Linked DNA regions of Saccharomyces cerevisiae S288C. Changing the gene in region 1 together with any one later gene gives a genetic interaction. Each region holds a gene or a part of one and is shown in the gene's direction. Other genes may lie near its edges. The genes, in order: CTP1, GID8, XDJ1 and YKR075C.

Region 1 (4,154 bases):
AAAAATCTGATTTGGAATTAATGTTTCATTTACTACATTTTAAAGCATTTTGTACCATTCAGAGGCAAGAATTGGCCAATACTGTGTGTTCTTATAACGATAACTAGTATATATATTCTCGAAATTGTATATTTCTGTGGATTTGCACACAATCATCTAATAGCAAATTAGGAAGAAAGCCACACATGCACATATATCGCATCACTTACCGAGCCTTAGAATGTGGTTGCCACACATTAGGACATGTTACCCCCCGCACCTAGCAGAAATATAGTATTAATCTATCAGTGCTCAACACAATGTGATATCAGTACAATTCTTCATGCCATGGTACGTCGTCTCTATTTTCTTTTATATTCTGTTTATTATATCATGTTCTAAAAATGTCATATATACAATTCTGAAAAGGTTTTTGACCCTTACGTAACGCTATTCGGTCAACTACTTGTGAGACATATATTGTTCAAATATGTAAATGAAGAAAAGTACGCCTATTACTAGGATCCACAATACCGTAAAGCCTGTTAAACAAGGAGGAACAATATATATATCATAATTTTTTTAGAAAGAAAAGCCAAAGAAACAGCATTTGCAGGCACAAATCCGTGATAATAATGCATAGAACAATATGTGAAACCCCACAAGGTTACTGGTCGGATGATGAGCGAGCCCAGAGAAACCAACAGACCTCTGTAAACATCACTATGCCTTATCACCACACTTTACCATAATGCATTGAAAGTGCAATTGGAGAAGCCACCAATAGACGAGCTATGATGATATATTTAGCGTCCCTTAAAATATCGACTTATACAGTGGATAACATTTCCGCTCGCATTCCTCGAAGAGCATTATTTCCAAACTACTGTTGAAAAAAAAAAAATACGAAGACGACGCTTACCTGAGCACCCAGGATGTACACTTCGCCACAAATTTTGAGAGGCCTTTTGTTGTGATATTAGTTGAAATATATAACCACTTAATCAGGCAAAAAGACAGCAGTCACTATTTCAAGTTGGTAAAAAAATCCTGTTTTCGCTAATTGTCGATTTGGCCTTTCACCTGGACTTGAAAGCTTCAATTACGGCCTGATACATTCATTCTTTATACTGACCTTTGCCCAATTTATTATCCAGAACTATAGCCATTAGGTTGCAGGCCACTGGGACCACCACTGACTGGAAAATATTCTATTGACGAATTTTCCGCAACTCATCGCTGATTAGTTTATGAACTTATCCCGTCGGAATGAGAAAGTTACATATGCAGGAATTCTCTACAAGCAGCAATAACATGCTTTTATTTTACTGTCGTATTGTAATTGCTTATTCGGTTCCAAACATGTCAGCTATGCCAATATTTTAGAAGAGTGGGAAAAAAAAGAGATGTTATAGACGAACGACAAAAGTTGTGAAAAACTCGAATGGAGTAATGGAGCAAGAAACAAGAATCTGTCATAGTCAATACGTGATTTTGATATGCTTTCAAGCTTCTGAGAACTTCATTCATTACACTCCACCACATATACTATACAACGAATAGCCCAGTCGAAGAGGTTATGATTGTGTTCATTTATTTTTTTACATGACAGAGTCTCCCTATTGATACTAAGCTTGCTGCAATAACTCTTCTTACTAAGAGGTAACTTACATCTTGACTTTTTAATGAAGTTCCCAGCCGATTACCATTATACGTCGCCGTTTCGTTCATGTAAATATTCAAATATACTACACTTTATATCTTTGCTTCTTATATTTTCGCGCGTAGGTTTGCCTAATTACATTTTTATATTCCTCATCAATAAAGCCGCCAACAAAGAGCACAGGGTAGAAACTCTGCTGTCTGGGAACTCGGCTAACGCTTGTAAGCTATTTAATATTCTCAAATCATTTCAACACCTCTTTTTTTTTTTTCAAATATGTACTATTTTCTCTATTTCCATTAAGTTAGTCTTACTGAAGAGTCAAGAATATGGAAGAATTCCTGCGGAATTTTCAATTATTAGAAGTGAAAAAAAAAAAAAAGAAGAACAATGAAATTTAGTCTCACTTTAGCGTGATATATAAAACGTAAAATGTCGAAGCCAACGTAAAATTAAAAACATTTTGATGTCACAATGAAAGAACTCCAAAGTAGAGCTTGAATTATAAATTAGCATTTTACCGATGTCCAGTAAAGCTACCAAAAGTGACGTAGATCCATTGCACTCGTTTCTGGCAGGGTCCCTAGCCGGTGCTGCTGAAGCATGTATAACATATCCTTTTGAGTTTGCCAAAACAAGGCTGCAGCTGATTGATAAGGCCTCCAAGGCATCAAGAAATCCTCTGGTATTGATATATAAAACTGCAAAAACTCAGGGCATTGGTTCCATTTATGTCGGATGTCCCGCATTTATTATTGGAAACACCGCTAAGGCGGGTATTAGATTTCTTGGCTTTGATACCATTAAAGACATGCTAAGAGATAGTGAAACTGGAGAACTAAGTGGTACAAGAGGGGTGATAGCTGGGTTAGGTGCGGGACTATTAGAAAGTGTTGCCGCAGTGACTCCTTTTGAAGCAATCAAAACTGCTTTGATCGATGATAAACAATCTGCTACACCAAAATACCATAATAATGGGCGCGGTGTAGTACGAAACTATTCATCATTAGTCCGTGATAAAGGATTTTCTGGTCTTTATCGTGGTGTTTTGCCAGTTTCCATGAGACAGGCCGCAAACCAAGCCGTTAGATTGGGTTGTTACAATAAGATTAAGACCTTGATCCAAGATTATACGGATTCGCCAAAAGACAAACCTTTATCATCCGGGTTAACCTTCTTAGTGGGTGCATTTAGTGGTATTGTGACGGTCTATTCCACCATGCCCCTTGATACTGTGAAAACAAGAATGCAAAGTTTGGATTCCACCAAATACTCCTCTACAATGAATTGTTTTGCAACCATTTTCAAAGAAGAAGGGTTAAAGACGTTTTGGAAAGGTGCTACGCCTAGACTTGGGAGATTGGTCTTGAGTGGTGGTATTGTTTTCACTATCTATGAAAAGGTCTTAGTTATGCTAGCCTGAAATGTATTATTGTGTACAATATATCATCTAATGTTTTCTACTCGTTATAAGTCTATTTACCAGCCGATCACTTAAAAAAGTTATATATCTCTTTTTATCATAATGAAGAAGATGGCTTATGCTTGATTTTGACTTTGGTTGAGGTATTTCTTTTCCAATTTTTTGACTTGAATGTAGTCGTATATACTCTTCAGGGTGATAAATAGCCCAAGAAATGCCACAAAAACAGCCAACCATGGTATGTTTTGTTTTTCTTCATCCAGACCGTGATTCAAATGTGATTCAAATTTATCTTGTGTCGTTGATTGTGAATTTAGACGAACATCATCGAATTCATTTGGATCCTCTAATTCCATTCTATTTAAGCTTTTATTTTTGCCGACTTTTGAAGTAACATCATTGGGAATCATTGAATAACCATATCCAATGAACGTTAACCCTAATCCAAACCTTGAACCTTGCTTTGCTGCGTGAGATGTGTGTAAAATGTAGGTTATTAAAAATCCAATGAACTGAAAACTCGTGCTTACGATGATATTCCATAATAAATTTGCTATATTTCCTACAGGAAGCCCCTCAATGCATATTTCGTCGTAGTAGATATCTGAATTGTTCAAATCCATTCCATAATACGAGGGGGCCATATCAGCAGCAGCTTCGTCGTATGTAGGTGGTATGTCTTGTTCGTTATTACCTTCAGTCTCTGTGGTATCTGGTTTTGCGCTTAAATTGCTAAAGACACCATCAAACATGGCACCTTGTTGTATATCCGAAGACTGTTGTGTACGTTTCTTAAAAAGTCTATCAAGAATATTAAAATGTCTTCCTATTTTTCCTATATGTCTGGCTGCTTGTTCCCTCAGCTGGTGTGGTACTAGTCTTTCTGTCGTACTATTTCCTCCACTGCTGCTTCCCTCGTCCTCTATGCTATCTTCCTCGTCAGACCCTATTTCCGTTTCCCCTTCTACGCCAGTTTGTGTGTCTCTAGTTCGTCCTGCGTTTCCGACATTTATGCCATCAGTAGATGAACCTGCATGAAGTGTATTCATTTCTTGCCCTATAAGTAGTTCTTGCTCTGGCATAGCGCTT
Region 2 (4,431 bases), on another chromosome or scaffold:
TTGAAAGAAAAGCGTGACGGTGATATAATGGACCATGTAAGGTGCTACTCTTTAAATCGGTATCCGAAGCATGCCTTTTATTGTCATAGAATGTTGGAAGATGTTGGGTGGAGATGGAGTCAGTTAATTCCTGTAAGGAAGGTAACTTTATCTTATTGGAAAACGGTGAAGAGCTCTCCTTTTCAGACTCTTGCTGCTTCAACTGTTGCTGCTCTTGTTGTCTGTCAGTAAGTAAAGAAGCCAGACGGTTTTCGATGGTTGTGATATGATTTTGTAAAGAATGGAAATTCTGAGTAGCAATACTCTGCCTGAAATGGGTAGAATTTGATAAAGATTTCAGTTTAGCTAATTCATCCATAGTAGATTGAATGTTTAGATCATTTGCTGTAGTGGTAAGTTCGTTGTTTTCAAAATGTTTAGAAAATGAAACTACCCTGTTAATTTCATGACAGGAACGTTCATCAATATTGTCCAGCACTTCATTCTGATTCGAGTTTACGGGTTTATCGTTATTAATGTTATCAGTACCAATGCCATTATTGGTTTTATTGTAAACTGGTACTTGTTGGAAATGAATATCAGTAGCAACAGGAGCATGCATTTGAGGGTGAATATTATTTAGCTGAAAGTGAGAAATATTGGGCGGCATGTGGGGATCCGGTATGATGCTGACCAGCCGCTGAGGAGCAGAAGGAATTTGGTGTGTATTTCTATAATGTGAGTTGTTGGATATTTGAATATTAACGGCGGGAAGAACAGAATTAATGTTGTTATTTTTTATAGTGTTGTTACTATGGTTGTTGTTATCATTATTGTTGGGATGATGATAGTAGTATGCGTAGTTGTTGTTTGCGCTGTTTATATGGGCATTCGGTCCATTATAATGCTGCAAGGGTAATGGAGAATTTATAGTTACAGTAGAATGCAAAGGATCTACTCTCGGAGCAGAATGGTCAAAAACAAGTTGTGGAGGACCGTATGTGAACCCGGGCAGTGCTTGTGGCTGTGTTTGAGAGAAGGGGTAGATATTGGGGGCTTGCATCTCGATGAAATTTTTTGAGACAAGTCGTAAAAGCCCTTTATTAAAGTGAAAACAAACAATTCACTATGAACGAAAACAATATTAGAGCAAAGGAAATCACTAAAAGTAGATGGAGAAAATAAAAAAACGCCGTGAACGGAAATAGAAGAAATATGAGGGGACGCAAGGAAGTAAAAGGACCAGGAAAGAAAAAATCCTCCTTCAATATATACCAAGATATACAAGAAACTGAAACTCAAAAAATAACTTTTATACAAGATTGCCGACACGAAGAAAGGAAACGATAGCCGAATGTCTTAATGCAATAACAACTGCATTAACAATTAAGCAAATTTAGGAAATTTGCTTATAACCTTATATTTCAAAATAACCGTTGAGTTTTAGCTTTTGCACAATTCCGCGCCGGGCCCCGCGCAGGGAAAATCGCAGCAGCCGGAAAAACCGCCATCCAGCACCTTCAGTTGGGGAAAGCAAAGCAACCGAACGAAACTATATCTGAGATAAGGGCGGTGCAAAAAGAATGTGAAACCACGCTTGAAAAATGAAGTCACGGTTACACTATCTCCAACTCTGCAGGGTACAGTGCTTCTGATCGTGCATCCTTTTGTGGTCTGGACCAGCGTCGACGCGGCGACAGAAGTAGCGATGTTTCGCAGTGATAGACGCGTAGCGGTACAGGCCTGCGGCGGCTGTTGTGCGGTGACGTGCCCATGACTCAACAAAAAAATAAAAATAAGCAAACGGAAAAACCATATTAGTTCCCCTTTCTGCTGCTCCTACTCCTGTGCGTTTTCTCTTGCGCTCCTTTTTTCCCTGTTTTATTTTTTTTGTGTTTTTCGCTCGGCTTGGGTTTGTGTGTACGGCCCTTTTTGGGATCCCGGAGTTTATTTGACTGTTGTCCGGATCCGTTCCGAGTGAATGGTAATCGCTCCATTGTGTTGCTGTTTATCACTATCAGTGTCGATCTCGCTTTCCTGACTCTGCCGGCGCGGTGCCCCGGTTCGTTGCAGGAGACATTTTGATGGTACATCATTTTTCTTGAAGCTAACATGTGTAATTTGGTCATTAAATTGCAAGCAAAGGGGCAGTAGAGACAAATATCAGCCGGATGAAGATATATTTGTGTGTGGTAACAAATAGAAATGACTATATCTACTCTTAGTAACGAGACCACGAAGAGCGGATCTTGCAGCGGCCAAGGCAAGAATGGTGGGAAAGACTTTACGTATGGAAAGAAGTGCTTCACGAAGGAAGAATGGAAGGAGCAGGTGGCCAAGTATTCTGCCATGGGCGAGCTATATGCAAATAAGACAATACATTATCCGCTGAAAATTCAGCCCAACAGCAGTGGCGGCTCGCAGGACGAGGGATTTGCTACCATACAGACCACACCCATAGAGCCCACACTGCCACGGCTTCTGTTGAACTACTTTGTTTCTATGGCATATGAAGACTCGAGCATTAGGATGGCCAAGGAGCTGGGATTTATACGGAACAACAAAGACATTGCGGTTTTCAATGATTTGTACAAGATCAAGGAGCGTTTCCATATCAAACATCTTATTAAGCTGGGGCGTATCAATGAGGCGATGGAGGAGATAAACTCTATCTTCGGGCTGGAGGTGCTGGAAGAGACTTTCAATGCTACGGGAAGTTATACGGGTAGAACTGACAGGCAGCAGCAGCAGCAGCAGCAGCAGTTTGACATAGATGGAGATTTACACTTCAAACTGCTGTTACTGAATTTGATCGAGATGATAAGAAGTCACCATCAACAGGAGAACATCACCAAGGATTCCAACGACTTTATACTCAATCTAATTCAGTATTCTCAAAATAAACTTGCAATAAAGGCTTCGTCAAGTGTCAAAAAGATGCAAGAGTTAGAATTAGCAATGACTCTGCTGCTTTTCCCCTTGTCAGATTCGGCGGACAGCGGCAGCATTAAGCTGCCCAAATCGTTACAAAATCTGTACTCGATATCTCTAAGATCTAAGATAGCAGATCTGGTTAATGAGAAGCTGCTGAAGTTTATTCATCCAAGGATTCAATTTGAGATCAGCAATAATAATTCCAAATTTCCAGATTTGTTAAATTCCGACAAGAAAATAATTACGCAGAACTTCACGGTGTATAACAACAATCTCGTCAATGGTTCAAATGGTACAAAAATAACTCACATTTCGTCTGACCAACCTATCAACGAAAAGATGTCAAGCAACGAGGTCACGGCTGCTGCTAATTCAGTTTGGCTAAATCAAAGGGATGGAAATGTTGGCACAGGTTCAGCGGCGACAACTTTTCATAACTTAGAAAATAAAAATTACTGGAATCAAACTTCTGAATTGCTTTCCTCTTCAAATGGAAAGGAAAAAGGTTTAGAATTCAATAATTACTACTCTTCCGAATTTCCCTATGAACCAAGATTGACGCAGATAATGAAACTGTGGTGTTGGTGCGAAAATCAGCTTCATCACAACCAAATAGGGGTTCCTAGGGTCGAAAACTGACATACATAGTACGTATATATTTATATATGTGTGTGTGCGTGTGCATGTGTGAGTGAGTGTGTGTGTGTGTGTGTGTGTGTGCCTACCTGCATGTATGCATTTAGCAATTGATTTTTCTTTTTTTTTTTTGGAAGCTTTCATAGTATGAATTCGCATTTTATCGTGTTTCCCGTATCAATCTTCAGGAAACATAATTGAACATCATCGATATTCAATGGCAGTAGTTCATCTTTATGATTGTAAATTTTGACACCGTTGGAAATCGTAAACTTTCTTGCCCCTTCACCGCCCTCATTCTTAATTATATCGCGATATATTTCGCAATCTTTAAAGTAGTGGTAAAGTCTCAGCCTCAATACACGCAAGGTAGTACCAAACTCAGGTCTTTTTTCATTTTCATAATCCTCTGGAGAAAATTCAACATGAAATTTTAATGGGGTGGACAGAAGTTCTTTCCCATCTACAATAACATTACATTCGACATCCAATTCTGATACAAACACAGGTTTTGCAAAAAACTTATCGCGATCTTCGAACTCTTCAATAACAATACCGCTTTTCTCGTCTTTGTATTCTTTACCGTGATATTCATCACTCACCAACATCCGATGAAGCTTCAGACTTTCATCGATTCTTCCACGCTCTAGTTCTTCTGATGTGTTCTTTTGTAGAAGACTCATTTCGATCGTTATATACAGTTCGTTAAAAAATGCAAGCGTACCAACCACTATCAAAAAGAGAGTTATCCTACCACTTATTCGATCATGGATAAATTGATGAACATATGGCAACTCCTGTAGTTTATTTATTAATTTTAATTCGAGATTTAGATACCTATCCTTTAACGACATACCGGCCTTTGGTTCTTTTTCTATACCA
Region 3 (4,523 bases), on another chromosome or scaffold:
ACGGTATTGGTCAAAAAATTCTTTATGGAAACTTTCCCATTTCTTAATCCATTCCAGACCAGGTGCCAAAAATGTTGTTCTTAAATGGTAAGTACCAGGTTCTTGACCAAACCCAGAACCGGGAACAGTGCAAATGCCAGTAGATTCTAACAACTTCTTACAATAAAATTCATCCGGAGTTAACTCTAAGTGGCGAGCTTCTTGAACTGCCTTGAAAGGTAAGTCTATCTTAGGGAATAAATACATGGCACCTTGAGGCTTTTGACATTCAATGCCTTCTAAAGAGTTAAATGTCTCATACAGTGTCATTGCTCTTGTAATTAACTTTTCATGGATGGAGTTACGTTCTGCTTGGTCCGACTCGAATGATTCCTCCCCTTCCACTGGTGGACGAACCATCAAATCAACCAAAGCTTGACCTGTGACAACGGGACACAATGAAATCGAGGCTAGTTTCAAGATAACTTGTCTCATCTCATGGCTGAATCCAGTGAGTTCCATGTAGCCACCCCTTTGACCACATTCACCAGAAACACCCTTAGAAGTCGAATGCAAAGAAGCTAGCTGAACATTATCGAATTTACCTGGATGTTCCCTCTGTAAATGTCTCAAAATTTTCTTCATAGAATGGAACTTGGTGCCCGGGAAGATATTTTCTTGATAAACTTCGTCAGCTATCACTACTGTACCGTACTTGGCTGCGACTTCAAAAATCTGAGCTATAGACTCAGGTGATAGGACAGCTCCTGTAGGATTACCTGGATTGATAACCACTAGAACTGTAGGTTTGATTTCGTTCTGTATAGCCTCTTTGACGACAGTTTCAATTTCTTCTGGATTAGTTGACCAACCTGAATTCTCATCTAAATAGTATGGTAAAGCTTGAGAATTGTTCAAAGCTAGAGTAGCGGTATATAATGGATATTGAGGAATTGGAATCAAGACACCCGTTTCTGGCCCTCTACAGAAAATTGATAACAAGTAATTGACAGCTGCGGATGCACCAGCAGTTAGGAAAATATCCTCTGGGTATGATATCTCGCCTTCGTCCCTCTTCGTTATAAATTCAGCGACACTTTTCCTTATACCTTCTACACCTTGAGAAGAAGAGTAAGCACCAACAGAACCACCGATATCTTCCATTAAACTCTTTGCACGTTTAATGGCATCTAGTTTAAACAATTTCGAATCAACTAGCTGCTGTTCGTTTTGGTTTAATAGTTCTGGGTATTGTAAGAGAGACAAGACCTGTCTGTAGTAAGTCAGAGGTTTCTGTTGTAGTTGCTGAGGATTACCAATATTGGCGTTGATAATCCTGTCAAATGGCAGAGATTGAGGATCCTTCTCCAGTTGAGCTTTCAATTCTTCAGCTCTCATTGGGATGGCACCTCTAACGGCGTACTTAGCCTTCAAGACATTTTCATTTACGTCTTCCAAAGTCAATTGTTCGGCGGGATAAAACTCGTTATTCGAAGTTTTCAACGTGTGGTGTGGAAAGCGATTCAAATGACGCAGGTCGTTTAGCGAAGATTGACCAGATAATGAACGTCTATGATTTTGAGCAACAATCCAGGAAGAGCTATGTCTCTGTAGGACGGGTCTAACTTTCCTGAAAGCTTTTAACTTTGTACTACTGGCTGAGGTAGAAAAAGGAGTAGTGATATGTGGCATTTTTTCTGCGCTTGAAGTGAGAGTCCTTATATGATATGACTTAATAACGTGAGTTATAGAATTACTCACTGTGAAGTGATTTTTGGCAGACAGTGATAACATCGTGGAGAGAGCAAAATAAAGACTGGGGAAATATATTTATATGCGTTCAATTGAGAAGCAGAAACAATTAAATGCGGGGGAGAAACAAAGAAGCTGGTCCTGTTCTCGAGCAACGTGTGACTAGTATGAACAACTAGAGTAAAATAGCGAGAAAGCAGTAGTAGTAACGGAAGAGCTTTTCCTAGTATGGTCCGCGGGTCACGATCGTTTACAAAGGGCGCAGCAAACTCTAAATACGTCAACCACAGCAGGTCAGAAGAGTACGTGAAGTTGTCTCAACGAAAGGTCGAAAATCGTTAGGCTTGGACCCCTTCAGAATGAAAAAAAAAAAAGACGCAAGAGTGAAAAAAAAACCAGTACTGTAAAAGCAGAAAACGTCTAATGGGAAGTGCTACTATGTAAGATTATATCATGAATGTGCTGTGTATTATATATGGATTATATAGCCACGAATATGCGGTAAATAAACATATGCATATATGTGTGTGGGGCAGCGCTCTGCTGTGCAATCCTTGTTTCTTTGTTTCTTGGGTCGGGATTTGAGTAGCGACGAGCCATCCTCTGCAGAAGGGAAGAAGAAAGAAAGGCAGAGAGGCAAAGAAAGAGTCAGGCTTATCTTATCTTAAGAGATATGCCGCTTGGACCCAAAAGAAAGGGAAAAGTAAGTACGCAGGTGTAGTTTTGAATGAGTGGCAGTGATAGAGGAGACCGGTTATACGATGTGTTGGGGGTGACGAGAGATGCGACCGTGCAAGAGATTAAAACTGCTTACAGAAAGCTTGCCCTGAAACATCATCCGGACAAGTATGTGGATCAAGACTCAAAGGAGGTAAATGAAATCAAATTCAAAGAGATCACTGCCGCTTACGAGATCTTGAGCGATCCGGAGAAGAAATCACATTACGACTTGTATGGTGATGATAATGGTGCCGCTAGCAGCGGTGGCGCTAATGGCTTTGGAGATGAAGATTTTATGAACTTCTTTAACAATTTCTTCAATAATGGAAGTCACGATGGAAATAATTTCCCTGGCGAGTATGATGCGTACGAAGAGGGCAACTCTACAAGCTCTAAGGATATCGATATCGATATATCTCTTACTTTGAAGGATTTGTACATGGGCAAGAAGCTGAAGTTTGATTTAAAGAGACAGGTCATCTGTATAAAGTGCCACGGTTCTGGCTGGAAACCAAAGAGGAAAATTCACGTTACACACGATGTGGAATGTGAATCATGCGCTGGAAAGGGTTCAAAGGAACGTCTGAAGAGGTTTGGTCCCGGTTTGGTAGCTTCGCAATGGGTGGTCTGTGAGAAATGTAATGGTAAGGGGAAGTACACTAAAAGACCCAAGAATCCAAAGAACTTTTGCCCCGATTGCGCAGGCTTGGGGCTCCTGTCAAAGAAGGAAATCATCACAGTGAACGTGGCTCCGGGACACCACTTTAACGACGTAATTACAGTCAAGGGGATGGCGGACGAGGAAATCGATAAGACCACATGTGGTGATTTAAAGTTCCATCTCACTGAAAAACAAGAAAACTTGGAGCAGAAGCAAATCTTTTTGAAGAACTTTGACGACGGCGCCGGGGAAGATTTGTATACAAGCATTACCATATCGTTAAGCGAGGCCTTGACGGGATTTGAGAAATTTTTGACAAAAACCTTCGACGACAGGTTACTAACATTGAGCGTTAAACCTGGCAGAGTAGTAAGACCTGGTGACACCATCAAAATCGCCAATGAAGGTTGGCCCATTTTAGATAACCCTCATGGCCGGTGCGGCGATCTGTATGTTTTCGTTCATATTGAATTTCCACCAGATAACTGGTTCAATGAAAAATCAGAACTACTAGCAATAAAAACGAATCTGCCGTCATCTTCATCTTGTGCCTCACATGCGACTGTAAATACTGAAGATGACAGCAACCTGACTAACAACGAAACTATATCAAATTTCCGGATCATTCACACGGACGATCTTCCAGAAGGGATAAGGCCGTTCAAGCCAGAAGCACAGGATTCAGCGCATCAGAAAGCAAGAAGTTCGTACTGCTGTATCCAATGATGGCATCAATAACTTTTTATTCTATTTTTTTTTTTTTTTCATAAGTTATCCTACCTGTATATATGTATATATATGAAATTCATTTACTGAATGCGGTGAAGAATGAAGTCTTTCGCACCTTCAGTAGAAAAATAGGAAGAATCCCCATCGCGGCGGACATAAAGCAAGCATACAAAGGCCTTCTATCAGAACAGCGATTGCGAACTTGGAGCAACAATGGCGTCCCAGGTTAACGCCTTATTACTGCCGGTCATAGAGTCTACGCCGCTTCATCAAATAACCAAGGTAGCATTGACGACCACACTCACAAGTAAACAAAGCGATTACAAGTTCAAAGAAATAGCCGTGCCGTTAACAAAATCACTACAACTGTACGAGAAGGCGCAAAGAAGACAAGATTTAAGGGCAAGCTTAAAAGCACTGGAGAGTATCATTTACCAAACGCACTTCCAATGGAATAACCCGCTCCCACGACATGCGCATCTCTTCCAAAAACACTACCACTTTCTACTGACTCACTGGCCATTTGAGAACCACAGAGACTTGGTAGATTCCATCGCTGTAAACAATGGGAAACTAAATTCAACGTCTTCAAGGAGCGTCTGGCTGAAGGCGGATTGGATAACACTGTTTAACGTTAAAAACCCTTGGGTCCAAACGCCGCCATCGTTAATGCGTCTGAGTG
Region 4 (4,051 bases), on another chromosome or scaffold:
AAATACGTTGTTGACTTCACTTTCGTAAACTTCTGCTTTCTCTGCGAATCCGGTCTTGTATACACCATTGTTGATGCTGTCGTAAACCCAAGAATTGAAGTCATCGATCTGTGTTTTCAACTGAGCAGGAACAAGGTCCGTTTTCTTGTGATCGTCGTCGACAAATTCATCGAACGCACTAGAGTTCAAAATCCTTATAATTTCGCTACTTTCGTTGTTAACAATTGTTTGGGTTTCTAAGTCCCACAGGACTGGGACGGTGAACCTTGCCGAGTATTGAGGATCGCTCTTGTAATATAAGTCACTGATTCTCTTGTATCCATAGTGAGGCTCATTGGTAGCATCAACCATGAATCTTTGACTGTCATTCTTGATCTCGGCGAAGCTCTTGCTGGAATCCTCTTTAGCAGTTCTAATACCACCTGCAACATCGTGCCAATGTTCCAAAAAATCTTCACTGTCCTCCAATTGCTTTTCCATGTCCAAAAATCTCCATCCTTTCTCGTCAAGGTGCCAATGGACTACGCTACATCCTATAACAGAGGTTAATCCCTTCAAAGCCCTCGTAATTAGTGTTCTATGGGCCCATGGGCATGCAAGTGAAACATACAACCAATATCTTCCCTTTGCTGGCTTATAAATTGGGTGTTGCTTAGAGATTGTTTCTCTGAAGGACGAAACCTGTCTTTTGAAAGCTCCGTTTGTACCACTCGCCCACTGTTTCGACATTTCTTATTTATCTTGCGCAGGGTTTGGGTAAATTCTCGTAAGCACTGTAGTGATGGTAAGAGCAGCGTTACCTAATTAACTACCTTTATACAAGAAATGGAAAAGGGTTGAGAGGGGTTGGACGCTAAGACAAATAAATAGGGGTGTGAAATTTCAAGAGCTGACTAATATCTTAGTAACGGAGAACAACAGAGAACAGATGATAAAACTATATTGATACGTTCAAAAGGTCTTAGGACCGTCTGAAGAGGTGAAATAAAGATGGAAAAGTTTGCGTCACCAAGCCTTTTGCGTCGGTTTCCTCTGTAACACTTTTTAATTCAAAGTGTTAAAATCTCAACTGTATACCCTCTAATTTGCATAATAATGAAACTAAATGTAAAAAAAAAAAGGAAAGAAAATCACTCCATAATCAGGGTAATGAATCATTTTACAGTGTCATTTGCATGTTCATACACATACCCTTCTTGACAGAATGCAGGAAAAGCCTCAACTATTTATCGGACACATTCGCAAATGTCCATTGACGAGTAAAACGTTTCCGCGTCACTACATTCGTCACTACACAACTTTAAAATACCTTATTTTTTTAATTATGCGGAGTAAGTATCTTTGCAGAACTAGATGGTTGGATTGAGCAGTAGGCATCAGTGACTCGAATTGGTGCTCATTTTTATTTTAACGTACGATTTGTTCAGGCCTTGCTATGACAAGCTTCCTGACGAAATCATACTGCAAGATACATAGTCCCAGTCCATAAACTAGTAGAATGACAAAAAGAAACTCAGAACATACATAACACGATAGACAACGTATTCACGGTTTTGAACCCCACGTAGTATCCTTCTAAATGGCATTGCCTTTACCACATGAAAAACTAAGAGAAGAAAGCTCTCTGCACTAATCATTATAAACGACAGCGGACCCGGAAGCGAGTACCCGAATAGGCCGGGGAAGGAAAAGATAGAAAGGAATCTTTTTTTCTTCCCCCCGCTCTTTTTTTTTATGCTTTTTGGGGTTTTTCCGGCAACTTTCAACAGAAATGCCGTAGCCGGAAAAACCGAAAGCGGGGGACAGTGAAGCGTGAGAGGGGCGAGACAGGGGGAACTTGAATGGGGTATTTTGCTTTTGCTGCATTTTTTCCGCTGGTACCTCTATCTTTAGGCGACCGGAAAAATTCATTTTCTCATCTTTTTTTTTTTTTCGTTTCCGACTCGATACTCTTTACAAAGAAACCCCCGCGGGGAAATGTTAGATTTGAGCTTTTTCCGCCAGGAAAAGAAAAAACCTGGGGACATTAATCTTGTTTTTTCTTTCTTCTTTTGTCTTCCCTTGGATGACTGCAGAAAAAGTACAGTTACCGGGTCTTAGCAAAAACAAACATATATATATATATATATGAAAGCGTATGGTCAACACGGTTTTATAGGTTTTACTTTTTGCATTCAGTTCAACTTTGGCCCTTTCTCTTATCGCATTCAGATACTACACACAAGTGTTCATACACACACAAATAGATACATATACAGAAAATGACTAGTTTGGACGATACAATAATTTCGTACCAGAATATAATGTTACTGGATAACATGACCAACTACAACAAGCCTGCGATTGACTATTTCCATCATGAATTTAATGATGCAAGCTTGGAAATATCGGCTTCATGGACACTACTATTGAAGATGCGCAAACATAAACTACTTCGATTACCAAGTTGCTCTTCAGAGGACGTGCTAGATTACAACATGTACCTCGTTAGGCTACATCATTGCCTCTGGAGGCGTTGGTCCATAAATCACTATGGTTTACAGAACTCCAAATCCAATCCACTGTCCATCAACTGGAACAAAGAAACCGATGTAACGGTGTTGTACGGTCCAGATTTGACTAACATAGATAGTAATGAAAACGAAATATCGCCGGTCCAGAACCAAATTGACCAGAAACAAACAAAAAATCTAAAATCTGCTTTAAAGAAAAATACGGAATGCTGGGTAACCGAGGAGGTGGATGAGATTAACGCTTCTATAGAGAGCAATGACAACGCTTTGGTGAAATTAGAAGACATTTCATGCCCATCGTCTGTTGATTCTCACACGTCTTCCATTTTCGACCAGCATTCTACATGCACTAAAATTTCCTCCATAGATGAAGATTCTGAAGACCTTATGAACGAAAAGAAGGAACAATTCCCCAGGAAGTTGAAGTTTAACCAAGCCGTGATGAAGAGGGAGATCGACTCAAAGGGGACTATCCGCGAATCCCTCATCAACATAAACGATATCCAACATTCCCGCCACCATCGCCGTCACCATCGTCGCCATCATCACCATCACCATCAAAATAGTTCTCATTCTGATGAAACAATAAAAGAAGCTCATTATGAGTTCAGCAACTATACATTTGGCACTATGGAAGAAGACATTTTTTATAGGAACCAGGTTGTTTTTTAAAGGAGAGTTTGCTCTCTTCTGCATTTCCACATACACATTTGATGTTAATTTACATACGAGTATACTCTCGTACACAACATATATATATATATATATGTAATATATTCATAGCACTTACTTATTAATGAAGGCCATAAGCCAAACAACATCTCACCATTTTTCTTCAGGGTTTTCTTTAAACCTTAGGTAATCCTCTTTGTTGAAAAGCGAAATTTCGGTTTCATTCTCAATGCCATACTCGAACAGCTTTTTTTTGTCATTCTCTATGTCTAAAGTCCAGTCGTCATCGTGGTCAAAATTGATCACGAGATTAACCGTCTTGGAACCATGTGCGTGCGTGTATATCTTTAAAGTATCAAACTTAACATTACGGAATGGTCTGAATGAACCTTCATTTTGAATTTTGTTCAAAACGTCATTGAACAGGTCCTTTGCAGTTTTATCAGCAAGATCGTAATCGTGCAGCACTATGTTCTTGACGTTTCTATATGGGAAAGATTTTATTACTCGGATTGTAATAACGGAGTTCTTTAGTGGTCTGGCATTTGAGGTTAATGGCTCTTCCAAGTCATAATCATGAAAGGTTGTTGACATTTTCAGCCTTTTAGTTGAATTCATGAAATAATGCAACCAAACAAGAAAAAATTTGGGGGAGGTAGTCTACGCATTTCAGTTCTAACTTCCTTCCTTTTCTTTCACTATTAATTGAAACTTATTTTCATTTTTTTTCTTTAGCATTGAACGCCGAATCTAAAAAAGTAAAGAACTCCTCATAGGGGGCTCGAACCCCTGACATTTCGGTATCCTTGCTTAAGCAAATGCGCTTAAAAGCCGAACGCTCTACCAACTGAGCTAACAAGGATGAG

What was found.
Region 2: mutations in CTP1 (region 1) and GID8 together harm fitness more than expected from each alone (negative genetic interaction), as found in Saccharomyces cerevisiae (2 studies listed by BioGRID).
Region 3: mutations in CTP1 (region 1) and XDJ1 together harm fitness more than expected from each alone (negative genetic interaction), as found in Saccharomyces cerevisiae (2 studies listed by BioGRID).
Region 4: mutations in CTP1 (region 1) and YKR075C together harm fitness more than expected from each alone (negative genetic interaction), as found in Saccharomyces cerevisiae (2 studies listed by BioGRID).

Annotation. Positions count from the first base shown.
Region 1 is NC_001134.8:782,584-786,737, reverse strand, and holds CTP1 (Ctp1p), read left to right. Parts: upstream 1-2,165; coding exon 2,166-3,065; downstream 3,066-4,154. Other genes in the region: YBR292C (uncharacterized protein), read left to right, coding at 1,665-2,036; BSD2 (Bsd2p), read right to left, coding at 3,182-4,147. UniProt on the Saccharomyces cerevisiae protein: Transport of citrate across inner mitochondrial membrane.
Region 2 is NC_001145.3:537,810-542,240, reverse strand, and holds GID8 (glucose-induced degradation complex subunit GID8), read left to right. Parts: upstream 1-2,184; coding exon 2,185-3,552; downstream 3,553-4,431. Other genes in the region: GAT2 (Gat2p), read right to left, coding at 1-1,042; ERG29 (Erg29p), read right to left, coding at 3,690-4,403. UniProt on the Saccharomyces cerevisiae protein: Component of the GID E3 ligase complex recruiting N termini and catalyzing ubiquitination of proteins targeted for degradation.
Region 3 is NC_001144.5:318,243-322,765, forward strand, and holds XDJ1 (Xdj1p), read left to right. Parts: upstream 1-2,458; coding exon 2,459-3,838; downstream 3,839-4,523. Other genes in the region: alanine transaminase ALT1, read right to left, coding at 1-1,773; GEP5 (Gep5p), read left to right, coding at 4,055-4,523.
Region 4 is NC_001143.9:578,961-583,011, reverse strand, and holds YKR075C (uncharacterized protein), read left to right. Parts: upstream 1-2,261; coding exon 2,262-3,185; downstream 3,186-4,051. Other genes in the region: ECM4 (S-glutathionyl-(chloro)hydroquinone reductase), read right to left, coding at 1-729; AIM29 (Aim29p), read right to left, coding at 3,336-3,803.